3 linked regions of the Oryctolagus cuniculus genome follow. The protein of the gene in region 1 interacts with the protein of each later gene in a pairwise test. Links are inferred from orthologs where the notes say so. Each region holds a gene or a part of one and is shown in the gene's direction. Other genes may lie near its edges.

Evidence for each region.
Region 2: the proteins of RBM41 (region 1) and RINT1 interact in binary tests that used the Homo sapiens proteins (3 or more experiments, as listed by UniProt). The two-hybrid records come from large-scale screens. The link is inferred for Oryctolagus cuniculus from reciprocal best matches to the Homo sapiens genes RBM41 and RINT1.
Region 3: the proteins of RBM41 (region 1) and RALYL interact in binary tests that used the Homo sapiens proteins (3 or more experiments, as listed by UniProt). The two-hybrid records come from large-scale screens. The link is inferred for Oryctolagus cuniculus from reciprocal best matches to the Homo sapiens genes RBM41 and RALYL.

Annotation. Positions count from the first base shown.
Region 1 is NC_091453.1:86,164,313-86,168,691, forward strand, and holds the start of RBM41 (RNA-binding protein 41), read left to right. Parts: upstream 1-1,561; 5' UTR 1,562-1,589; coding exon 1,590-1,678; intron 1,679-4,304; coding exon 4,305-4,379. UniProt on the Homo sapiens protein: May bind RNA.
Region 2 is NC_091434.1:138,816,974-138,821,356, reverse strand, and holds the start of RINT1 (RAD50-interacting protein 1), read left to right. Parts: upstream 1-1,494; 5' UTR 1,495-1,654; coding exon 1,655-1,687; intron 1,688-2,043; coding exon 2,044-2,155; intron 2,156-2,548; coding exon 2,549-2,733; intron 2,734-4,383. UniProt on the Homo sapiens protein: Involved in regulation of membrane traffic between the Golgi and the endoplasmic reticulum (ER); the function is proposed to depend on its association in the NRZ complex which is believed to play a role in SNARE assembly at the ER.
Region 3 is NC_091437.1:110,338,511-110,342,158, forward strand, and holds part of RALYL (RNA-binding Raly-like protein), read left to right. Parts: intron 1-713; coding exon 714-886; intron 887-3,648.

The DNA of each region.
Region 1 (4,379 bases):
TGAGGTACTGAGGATAGTATTCATGGATACTGAATTGCTACTTTAAAGGGAACATTCATATATGATTTCAGTAGTGAACTAAAATTGTCCTCCACAGTGGTTTTACCAGGTTATGTTCCAACCAGCAATGTATTGAGAGTGCCTGTTCTCCACAATCTCCACAAATAAGCAGACTATCTAACTTTTGTATCTTTCACAGTCTGGTAAGTGAAAAGTCTTATTTTAGTGTACTTTTAAAATTTAAACTTTATTTGAGGCTGGTGCTGTGGTGTAGCAGGATAAGCTCTGCCTGCGATGCTGGCAGACCCATACTGGTGCCAGTTTGAGTCCCGGCTGTTCCACCTCTGATCTAGCTCCCTGCTAATGTGCCTGGGACAGCAGTAAAGGATAGCCCAAGTCTTTGTGCCCATGCATCCACACAAGAGACCCAGATGCAGCTCCTGGCTGCTGGCTTTGGCCTGACCCAGCCCCTGTAGTTGCAGCCATTTGGAGAATGAACCAGTGGATGGAAGATCTGTTCTCTCTACTTCTCTCTCTCTTTCTCTCTGTGTGTGTGTGTGTGTGTGTGTAGCTCTGCCTAGCAAATAAATAAATCTTTAAAAAATTCAAACTTTATCTTTGTTTTTGAGAGCTACAGAAAATTTGCATAATGCGTAGTACTATATACTTCCATCCAGTTTACCTTAGTATTAACATCTTACATAACTGGTGCATTCATCACAGCTAATAACTCTTATTAACTAAAGTGCATTATTTATCACAATTTCTTAGTTTTTACATAATGCCCTTTTTCTGTTTCAAGATCCTACCCAGGATATCACATTACATTTAGTAATCATGTCTCCTTTGGTTCCTCATGGCTGTGACAAAATCTTGGGTTTTCTTGCTTTGGATGACCTGGGTAGTTTTCAGAAGTATTAGTCTGTTTACTATGAAATTTCCATCTCACTTTTAAGTGAGATTGAACTTTTTTCTTCTTATAAAGACATTTATACTTCCATTACTGGGAACTAAGAGCCAATGCTTTTAACCACTATACTATACCTCTCTCTTGATTCACTATAATTACAAATAAAACATTCATGAGTTTGAATATATACAGATTTCGGATTTTGAACTGACTGAACTCAGAAGTCTTACAGATGTAGAACTGTTAGTGCAAATGTCATGGGTGGACTTTTATCTCATCTAGGAGGACTAGTGGCTTTACTGGGAAGAACAGGGTCGACAGCGATCAATTTGAGGGAAGTTAGAGTAAAGCTAGGATTTAGTAATATTGGATAAGAGAATCAAGAAGACCAAGGTTACTTCTGGTTTTGAAGCTGGATATTTTGAGTATTTTCTTTAACTCATATGAGAAATATTCGGACCAGTTACCATGTAGCAGTCACTCAACACCTGTTTTCCCTTTCTGTTTCTCTGGTACTACATTTCCCAGAGTTCCACGCTCCACCACAATTCCCCCTTAGAGTCTGCCGCTAAGAGTTCTGGGACTTGAGGTCCGCGGCCTATTCGCCCATTCACCCAAGTTAGCGATAGGGGCCTGTGGAAGCATGAAGAGGTAAGGGCTTGTCTGAGGAGCAGGCGGCATGGGGACCTCTGTTCTACCTTTAACTTTGAAAATGGCTGTTACCGCTTTCTGTTTGGAAGGTGTCAGGTTCTCAGGATGCGGTTTCTTGTAAGCGGGAAGTCCAACGCGGAGGTGGTGGTGGTGGTGGGGGGTGGGGGGGCGGAAGGACAGGCCTGCGGGGCGAAGTTCAGGAAGGGCCAGTGCAGGGGCGGGTTCGGCCTGATGTGCCCCCTCCCGCCCTAGGCCCCGGGAACTTGCTGGGTACTGCGGCTTCTTCGTGTTTCGGATGCACCCACTCAGGCAAATGGGTCTTGGCTGGCACGTTCCCGGTGTCTGAAATACCCAGGCCAGCTCCTCCCGTTGTCGCCCCAACTTACCTCACCCTCAGACCGGAGCTCAGGGTGTACAGGGGCTCAGGATGTGCCCCATTTGCTTAGGATGCCTGTATATATTAAGGAAGACTTGCGGGGGTAGCGACCCCACGGAGTGCTTTCAAATCTTAGAGTAAAGAAGTGCTACATTGTTTCTATAAATTTAGAAGGAAAGCACAAAGCGGGTAGGATGTATTTATAGAAGGAAAGCGTGGCTGTGAGCAGCCTTCCCCCACTCCCCGCCGTGGTCCCGCAGTAAATGGCAGTGAGAACTTGGAGGGTCATTGTTGAGAGTGTGAGCCTCACGATTTTTGGCAGGACAGAAAGCCTTTAAAGAGGGTCTCATTAAAATAGTTTTGTGCAAGTAGTCATCACTGGGATAGTGCGGTGCATTTAAAATAGTTTCTAATATGCTGTCCTGTACTATCAGTTCCTTGCATCTTTTAAAAAACTGTTTCTGATTTTCCTTGTCTGAAAATAACCTTGAAATTTTTCATGGTGAGATAGCTCACACATGCAAAATAATGCATATATACAATTTAAAAACGAACGAAGGCTCACACTCTACAAATTTAAGGAGTAGAACATTACCAGTCCCTTAGAATTCCCTTGTCTCCTGTTTACTTCCCTCGCTTCCCTTCCCTGGGAGGTGATCACTGTCTGGAATTTTGAATTAATAATTCCCTTCCTTTTTTGTATGTTTTTTAAAAATTCATTTTAGCACATATAAATTTTTCCTTAAACATATTCCTACTTTCCCCATTTCAACTTTTTACAAATACTGCATGAGGTTTTCTGTGACCTGCTTGTTTTTTTAACAGCATTTCTTTTTGAGATGCATGTGTCTTGATTAATTTAGCTAACTCTCTACCTAAAGAGATTTTTGAGTTTCCCAAAATAAGTCCAAATCGTTCTACAGTATGCTAATAGTCATAGGGGTTACTTTTTCTAGACCTTATCATAACCCCACTAGGAAAGGGCTATTTTATAAGGAAAGTACTCAATATTAAGCATGCTTAAATGGTATAAACATTAAGAAATATCTTTATGCTCTAATAACAATTTTCAGTTATTTAGGGTCAGTTAGCTCATGCTATCCATTACTCAGATTTCTACACAGTGATTCTAAGCAAAAAAATGTTATGACCCTCTTCATATTTCTTTCTATACTGTGTCCTTTGGAGATCTCCTTTTTTCATAGCTCCAAACCTCATCAACACAGCTTACTTGAAATTTTGTTATTCAGCCTCAGACTCTATTCAATAGTTGTATCATCTCTCATTTTCCTTCTAGCCAATCATTCATACTGCCATCTCAGACTCAATGTTTTTATAGCATTCCAGATACTTCATGCTAGTGTTTCAGTTGTGGTGTATGGTTGATTTCACAAAGCTAAGGCAATACTGGCTTTCCCTTTCGCAAATCACTTATTCCATCTGGAGCTGCTTCTTTGCTTCAAGCACCATCATTGTGTGAATTTCACAGCTTAAAATGTGGGGGTTAGCTTTGACTTCCTTGCCCTTGCCTTCAAAAGAACTCTCTCATCTAACCCTTCCTTTCTATTTCCACTATTAACATTTCAGACTAGACCTTCATCACTTTGTCTTTTGGTAGTTTGGTAAAGAGTTGTTCTGATTTTTTCTCTTCTAATTCATATGGCACATAATAGCCACATCTCTCTTCCTAAACAATCACTTGCACTGCGTCACTTAATCACTACTTTATAATATCTATAACATTAAATATAGGGGTCCCTCATCTGGCCCTTCACAATCTGAGACTTACCCTCTATGATCATCTTCCAGTACTCCCAAATGTGAATGCCAGCTAAATGGAACATCTCATTACACATCAGTGCACATTTCTGTCTCTTCATACTCAGACTTCCAATTCTCCTTTACTTCATCACAACCTGTCCTTCCAATGCCAATTTGAGAATACCTTTCTGAAATTTTCCTTTACCACTCTAGCTCTGAATTCTTTCTTCTGTGAACTGCTACTAATTTGGTATATGTGTCTCTGTATCATTATTCATTCTCTCTCTCTTTTCCCTCTCACTTTTTTTCTTTCTTCCCTTCCCATCTTCCCCCTCCCTCCTACAGACCTTTGTGCACAACACATACATACACATAAGTTTCTTTTGTCTGAAGAAGTTGCAGGCTTCTTGAAGATAGGGACTGTCTTGTATTATCTTTGAGCTCCGTAAGTACCTAGTTCTTTGTGTAAATAGGTATTTAGCAAATGCTTACTAGAGAAGTGTCCTTGAGCAAATAGAGTTACTAATGGTTGATAATATAGATAAGGAAAATATTTGGAGATTCTGTCTCTTCTGCTTTCTGGATATATTCTTATATCTACTCCAGGATAAACAGCTGTGTGAAGAGTGATGAGCGTGTCTTGGAGGAGCTGGAAACAGAAGGGGAGAGACAGCTGAAAAG
Region 2 (4,383 bases), on another chromosome or scaffold:
AAGAACAGTTGTGGAAAACTTGAATTAAAAGCTAGGTTTATTTTGGGACTGGTATTGTGGCACAGTGGGTGAAGCCTCCACCAGCAGTACTGGCATCCCCATATCAGGTTGTAGTCCTGGCTGCTGGCTTCCCATCCAGCTCCTTGCTAATATGCCCTGGAAAAGCAGTGGAAGACAGCCGAAGTCCTTGAGCCCCTGCCACCTATGTGGGAAAGCAAAATGGAGTTCCTGCCTCCTGGCTTTGGCCTGATTCTCCCAAGGCTGTGGTAGTCAAAAGGGGAGTAACCTAGCAGATGGAAGATTCTGCTACTCTGCCTTTCAAATAGCTAAATCTTTTTTTTTTTTTTTTTTTTTTTGACAGGCAGAGTGGACAGAGAGAGAGAGACAGAGAGAAAGGTCTTCCTTTGCCGTTGCTTCACCCTCCAATGGCTGCCGCGGCCGGCGTGCTGCGGCCGGCGCACCACGCTGATCCAAAGGCAGGAGCCAGGTACTTATCCTGGTCTCCCATGGGGTGCAGAGCCCAAGCACTTGGGCCATCCTCCACTGCACTCCCTGGCCACAGCAGAGAGCTGGCCTGGAAGAGGGGCAACTGGGACAGAATCCGGCACCCCGACCGGGACTAGAACCCGGTGTGCCGGCGCTGCGAGGCGGAGGATTAGCCTAGTGAGCCACGGCGCCGGCCAATAACTAAATCTTAAAAAAAAAAAAAAAAAAAGTTGCATTTTGATGGAAAAAAGTTTTGAAATCTATGCACACATTAAAAAATACCATTAATTTTCCACGAGTTTTTTTTTTGTTTTTGGAAGATTCCTCCTGGTTTGAGTATATTTAGTTTTATTCTCACTGAATGGCTTCTGTTTTCCTAGGCTTTCTGTTTATTCTTATTCTCCCTCCCCTCCTTTTCTTGTCTATTTCGGTCTTTATGGTACCACTTTACTTGGCAGTTTGTTTCTGAGATTGTCAAATACGGGGGCCCATGCCTTACTTCCCGCTAACTCTTGTTCCTCCTCCTTAGCTGAAGATAGGGCTTATTTAGGGAGTCTGGACTGAGCACGGGGCTTGGTGGGCGCTGAGTCCTCTTCTTCATTCAGCAACCAGAACGCTGACCATCCAGCCAGGACATTGGAGAGTGATCCTTAGGGAACTGACCAGCGGTAAAGATCTAGAGATGGTTACATTCATCGGCAATCCCACAATTAAATAGGCGATAAAATACACCTACCTAGTCACTGCCGCTCACCAAGCGCACTCATTTTCAGAACATCTCGATGTCGTCTGAAGCATAAATGTAAATGATTCACTTTGAATTTATGCCGTGAAAGAAGGAGTACCTTCAAGATCCACAATGAAGAGCTCCAATGCTTAGAGAGAGGGGGTACGGGCCCAGCCTTCTCTGGGCTGCCTTGGGGGCGGGGGCTCTCTTCCTGGGCCGCAGTTCCAACCTCCGGCCTGCAGGGGGAGACGGCGCTCAGAAGGCTGCTCGCGGGAAGGACCGCTCTGGCCAAGAGGAAGGAACCCGAGAGAGGCGAGAGGAAGTCGCGGTGTCACCAAGTCCCTTAGCCGCTGAGGCGCGCTGGTTTCTGTCGCTGACCGGAGCGGGACTCCACCAGCCACGCTGGCTGCGAATGGAGCCGAGGACTCGCGCGGAGGCGGGATGCCCCCGATCGGCGATGCGCCGGGAGCTCCGGTGAGTCGTCTCTGGCGACTCGGGGAGGTGACACAAACCTCCCGGTTGTCTTGGTGAGGTGGCGCTGGAGGCTTGTGAGGGTGGTTCCCGCGGCGCAGGTTCGAGTCCCTCGCGGCATTCCCAGGGGTCGTGGTCCCAGTGAGATGACTGATCTCTCCAGGGAGGTGGCTCCGGTGGCCGGGCGAGGGTGGCACAGACTCCTGGGAGGGGTGGCACCAGGGAGGTAGCCCTTTTTCGAAACCTGTATCCGACCGCCCTGGGACTTTGGGCAGATCCCTGTCGGTTCCTTTGGGAGCCCTGTGTTAAGTTCCATCTGCTCCTTTAACGTCAGTGTTTTTGTCACCTTGTTCTTCCAGTGCTGCCCTGAAAGTGGCGCAGAAACGGAGAGCATCGTGGAGGAGAGCAAGCAGGCTGCATCCGCCGTAGCGCTTTGTGTCCCGGCGTCTCTCCCAAACTCAGCCTTCCAGGGTAGGCGGCAGGGAAAGGCGATCTTAGCCTGTTAGCTTTGAGATGAGCTGTTTCTGCGCACTATGCTTATGTAGTACCAAGTATTAACTGGTCTTATATGTGTATGTTTGTCTACAATTGTATAACACGGGTGCTCTCCAGAAGGGCCAGAGCCGGGAATCGAACCCAGGTATTGCAGCGTAGGACGCAGCTGCTAAACTCCCAGGCTACACACCTACCCTCAAAGGTTTTGTTGCACCACAGGAAACTTTTCATTCCATTTTTCCATGAACTTTTTCAGATACCTATATGTATGTAGTATGTTCTTCCATTATTAACTTTTGTATGTTTTTATAATTCCTTTAATTCCCCAGTCCTTAATGGTGTTGAGTAATTGTTATTCTTTTATTTTAGGTGACATAAATAATGTAGCTCTTGTTGAAAGTGAACATGTCAGTGAAAATATAGATAATAGTGAGCTTTCGGCTTACGTGTCTGCATTCATAGAAAAGGAAGTTGGAAATGACCTTCAGTCTTTGAAGAAACTTGATAAACTCATAGAACAAATGACAAAAAATAAAATACAGTTAGAAGAACAGGCAAGTATAATATATATGCATCTTTATTAATATAAACATAGCTAATATTGTGTATAAAATTGTGAAGGTATAGATTGTGACATTTTAAACTGCTTAATGAGTTTTCTTCCCACTCCCTGCTTAAAAAGTTTTTTTTTGCTCAATAAGCTTTAAGGATTTACAGTGTGCTATGTATTTTATAAACTATATAAAAGGGTTCTTACTGTATGATTTATGTCTTTAAAAACGATAACATTTTCATGGCTTTTTATACAGACTTAGAGACTGCTTTAAAAAAAAAAGATTTATTTATTTACTTAGAAAGAGTTACACAGACAGAGAAAGAGAGGCAGACAGAGAGAGAGAGAGGTCTTCCATCCGCTGGTTCATTCCCCAGATGGCTGCAACGGCTGGAGCTGAGCCGATCCGAAGCCCGGAGCCAGGAGCTTCTTCCAGGTCTTCCATGTGGGTGCAGGGCCCCAAGCACTTAGGCCATCTTCTACTGCTTTCTCAGGCCATAGCAGAGAGTTGGATTGGAAGTGGGCAGCTGGGTCTCCAACTGGCGTCCATATGGGATGCTGGCACTGCAGGTGGTGGCTTTGCCACAGCGCTGGCCCCAGAAACTGCTTTTACAAGTAAATTTATGGTAAACAAAAAAAGTTTAAACACCATCATCCCAAATTTTTATAAATGCACACATAGAGGAGAAACATGAAAAGTGTAACATTATAATGGTTTCTTGTAGGTGGTTGGTTGACAGGTGATTTTTTTTCATTTTATGTTTTATTACATATTACTTAAAAGAATTTTTTAAAAACCCAATGAATGTAATCTTAAACAAGTAAGTCCCTATACTTGCAATAATGTCTTTGTTAAAAGATTGTTATTGTGTAACCACCAAAGTAGGTTAAAGTAAGCTCTGTGGGAAGTGGGTATATTTTCTCCAGGTTGTCAGTCCTCTTGTGTTCTCCCATCCAGTCACCTTGGCCCTCCACATCTTCCTGTCTTTTTACCACATCTACTCCACTGCTAGTTTCAAGATTTTGCTAGGCCCTGATGGCCTTTTCTGTACCTGTAGGCAGGCTGTTGTGAGCCCCGTGGGAGGAGGTCACCCATGCAGGGGGAGGGATGCCACCCAAATGTCCGGTTGCCTTCCTGGCTGAGTCTTCAGCCCCACCTAGTGGTCCTTCCGTAGGAATGTGGGCCCTCTGCTGCTCCCCTCAGCTGTGCTTCCAGATTTTCCCGGAGACACTAGAGCTGGCCATTCTGCCCTTTCCCTTTCCCACACAGAAAATACTGAGGCATCTCGCATGAATCGGTCTCCCCCACATGGCACAAACCTGTTTGTAAACATTTTTACCTCTTAATTCAGTGGAAGCATCAACCTAAAGCTGTCTTTGTGTCTCAGCTCATGCCTGCCACCTTAGCGGACTTAACATCACTCCTCAGCCAGTCCTGTTCCCTCTGCTTATGGACATACGCATGACTTTTTCATACAACCCAAACCAACAAGCAAAACTTTCCTCTCATCTTTCAGTGGGAGCTGGCACTTTCCTTTGACTGTCAGTCTGAAGAGTCATCATGTGTCTGCCTTCACTTTCTGATTTGCCATTCGGTCTTTGACTCCCTGTAATCAGGCTTGTTTCCCTACAGACCACAGAAACTTATGCC
Region 3 (3,648 bases), on another chromosome or scaffold:
AAGAAGTAGTTATCCCAATGAGTTGAGGAGAAAATTGAGGCACAATGAAGACTGATCATTTCTGCTTTGAATAGCATTGCATAGCTACTAAATGATAAAACTTGACTTTGAATTTAGGTTATATGACACCAGAATTTATGTTCTTTTCACTGTAGTGAACCACATCTGCAAAGAGAACTTAGACTTTATAATTTCAATGAATTGTATTTAGAGATATATCATCTGAATGAAAGCATATTCACTTTGGTACTTTCTTATTGAGTTTTTCTTTGTCTTTTTCATTTAGGTTTGAACTTGTAAATGAGCTTTTTCCATTCTTCTTCATTGAATGAACAATTTATGTTTCATTTCATTTTTTGCCCTTTATTTTTGCTCTGTTTTCTCATCAGAGAGAATATTTTTATAAGAAAGGACTACATACAGAATATAGTAATGAGAAAGATAAATCTATTTACATAAAGCTTTGTTTATGTACTACTACCATCTGAATTCCCTAATTTTTGATAATTCCATTTTAAAATTAATATGCTTTCATGTAAATGCACATATATATATACATTATTGAATAAATTCAGCCAAAACATAATATTACCTATTCTTAGCATACCTTTAACCATACACAGAATTTACCCATCATGGACTGTTTCTTCATGGTTTATCCATATGACTCGTGGGCAACCCAAGGTAGTAGTCATTTGCTTTTTCCCCCCTAGAAGCTCAGAAGAAGCAATTGGAAGAGAGTATAGAGCTGATCCAAGACGAATGTGTGTCAGAGAATGCAGATCACTCTACAGAGGAGCCTGCTGAAGGAGGGCCAGAAGCGGATGGAGAAGAGATGACTGATGGGATAGAGGAGGACTTCGATGAAGATGGGGGTCATGAGCTGGTAGGAACTAAATATTTGGTGTCCACACCCATTGAGTAAGAGCACTAGTGTGTCAGCAATACATTCATTCTAACATGATTAACTCATTTGGGGAATATTACTTTCTTATTTGCACTATTAAAGGGAACATTAATTTAGTGCTTTGCACATAGTAAGTGCTCAATAATCTTTTTGTTAACAAAATATCAGGATGTAAGGGAAAGAACCATAGAAATAAGCTATATGAGAGTAGGAATAACTAATGTCCCAAATGAAAGATTCTCTTGTGCAAATCCTTCATTGTAGAAGGAATTTTGCATTTGTGAAAGTACAAGATAATTGTATATAAATATAATATACTAGTACTAAATGACCATTTACTAGAAGATACATACCTCTCCTTCTTATTTACTAGTTTTAGTCACTGATGGTAATTATCATTACTGACTGCACAGCCAAAAGTCCTTTCTCCATGCTTTTACTAAAATAGCATGACTCCTTGGAGTATGACTAATTCACCATTTTCAGTGCCTGTTCTATTGATAATCAGTATTTATTATTTGAAAATTTAGCTAAGACCTGATTATTTGTGTTTTATTTTCTCAATTATATAATCATTATACTGCCCATTTCCAGATGTTCTTTTCCACATAACCACACTAGGAACTTGGTAAATACATAGTGAAGAAGATGTTATCTCTCTTATTTTATCAACCATGAAAATAGATACACTGTATCAAAAAAAAACTTACTAAAACAAAGTACAAGGGCATGTAGTGTGTCTGTGTGTGTGTGAGAAAGAGAGACCAACTCTTAAATATTTATAGACTGAACTTGTTAAACTTGGCTCATTCCAGGCAATATCAGATTACAATATTTAAATACTTATTGTTACTTAAGTAATTTTGACATGGTAGTAGCTATTATTTCGGTATGGTAACCACTTTATTGTTAGCTTTAAAGATAGCTTATTTTTACAGAGTTTTGTATTGACATTTAATATTACAGCTCTGTTTAAATTTCCTGGCACTTTTATTTAAACTTTTCAAACATGAGCTTTTAACAGCCACCTCTATTTTTATAAAATTCTGCTTCTGTTTGAAGGACTTAAGTATCTGTTTTTAGAAATACATTGATTTCAGGAATCGACTGATCAAGGTCTACAATAAAGGACAAATATGTTTCGCAGCTTTTCCTTAGGCAGGACTTTTAATTCAACAGCGTGATGTGCTGAATCCATTATAATCAGACTTCTGTTTCACTTTTTCATTGTGTCTACTCATGTGGAGGTTTCTGTAGGGCTCCATATAGTCATTTCCCATGGGTACCTCTTTGTACTTACTTTAAATTACTCTTCAACAGGACTTTGCATAGCTAGCCACTCCCTGCTTTTGAGAAATTCTCTTATCTTATCAATTGATTACATCAGCTTCCTATGCTAGAAATTTCCCTTCCGTACTCCTAATTTAAATATTGGACTAGTTCAGAGCTTCCTCTTTCTCCACATTTTCTGAAGCTGTCTTCATCAAATAGCAGAATTTTAAACACTATCTACAGTCCAAGAGTTGCTAAACAGACATTTTATTCCTAATCTTTCCCTTGATCTCTAGACTCAAATATTCAGCTGCCTATAACCAAAGATGTCCAATAAACAACTGAAACTTCCCATTTCTAGAAACATTCTTGAGCTTTTTCTAGCTCTTTTATTCTTTCTAAGTCTTGTGCATTCTGATAAACAACATTTCTATCAGTAATAACCCACAAAAAATAAGATTATGGGTTATATTTTACCTCCATTCCTACTTCTGTTCATTCTACTTACAAATAATAGTCCAGTACTCACTGCATCTCCTCTACAAGTGGACAAATTGAAGCCACCATCTTTCTCTTTTCAAACTTTTGACAGTGTCTAAACTGTTGTTTCAGTTTCAGCTCTTTGTTAATTAGAACTGTTGCTGCCTAGAGGTGCTCAGATATTCTCCTTCAACCTTGGTGTTATAATTGGAGACTTTAGGAGATAAAGATTTTTAGACAGATTTATATCTTTATTTAGAAAGTCAGAGTTACAGAGAAGGAAGGAGAAACTGAGAAAGAGAGATAGGGAATCTTCCACCCCTGGGTTCACTTCCCAGATGGCCCCAAGGGCCAACACCAGGCCAGGCTGAAGCCAGGAGCCAGGAGCTTCATCCAAGTCTCCCATGCAGGTGGTAGGGCTCAAACATTGGGCTATCTTCTACTGCTTTTACCAGGACATTAACAGGTAGCAGTATCAGAAGTGGAGCAGCCAGGACTTGAACTGGCACCCATCTGTGAAGCCAGTGTCACAGGTGGCAGTGTTACTCGCTATGCCACAACACCAGCCCCAGGAAACTAAAGAATTAAATATTGTCTCTAGTATGTCATTTGGTTTCTATAACTTGGAAAATAATGAATGAGAAGGAGTTTAATACTTATATCTTGCAATTTAAATGGAAACTAGCCATCAGACAAGAGAGAATTCCCCAGTCTAGTTTTTACTGTTTTCTCCTTTCCAGGCCACATGAATCAAATTATATTAGGTTCCCAAAAAGAAAAGTCAAAGCAAACATTTATTTTTTGTCATAATGAATTATTATAGATTGGAACAAGAATACAGTATAATTAAGATTTTAGCATGTGCAATAGGAGTAAAGAAATTAGAGCTGCTATCCACATACTCAGGTGACTGTTCAGGGCTAATGTGGAAATATATTCAAAAAGAATGAACAAGGAATAAAAATTGGGTCTGAAGCAAGGGGAAAACA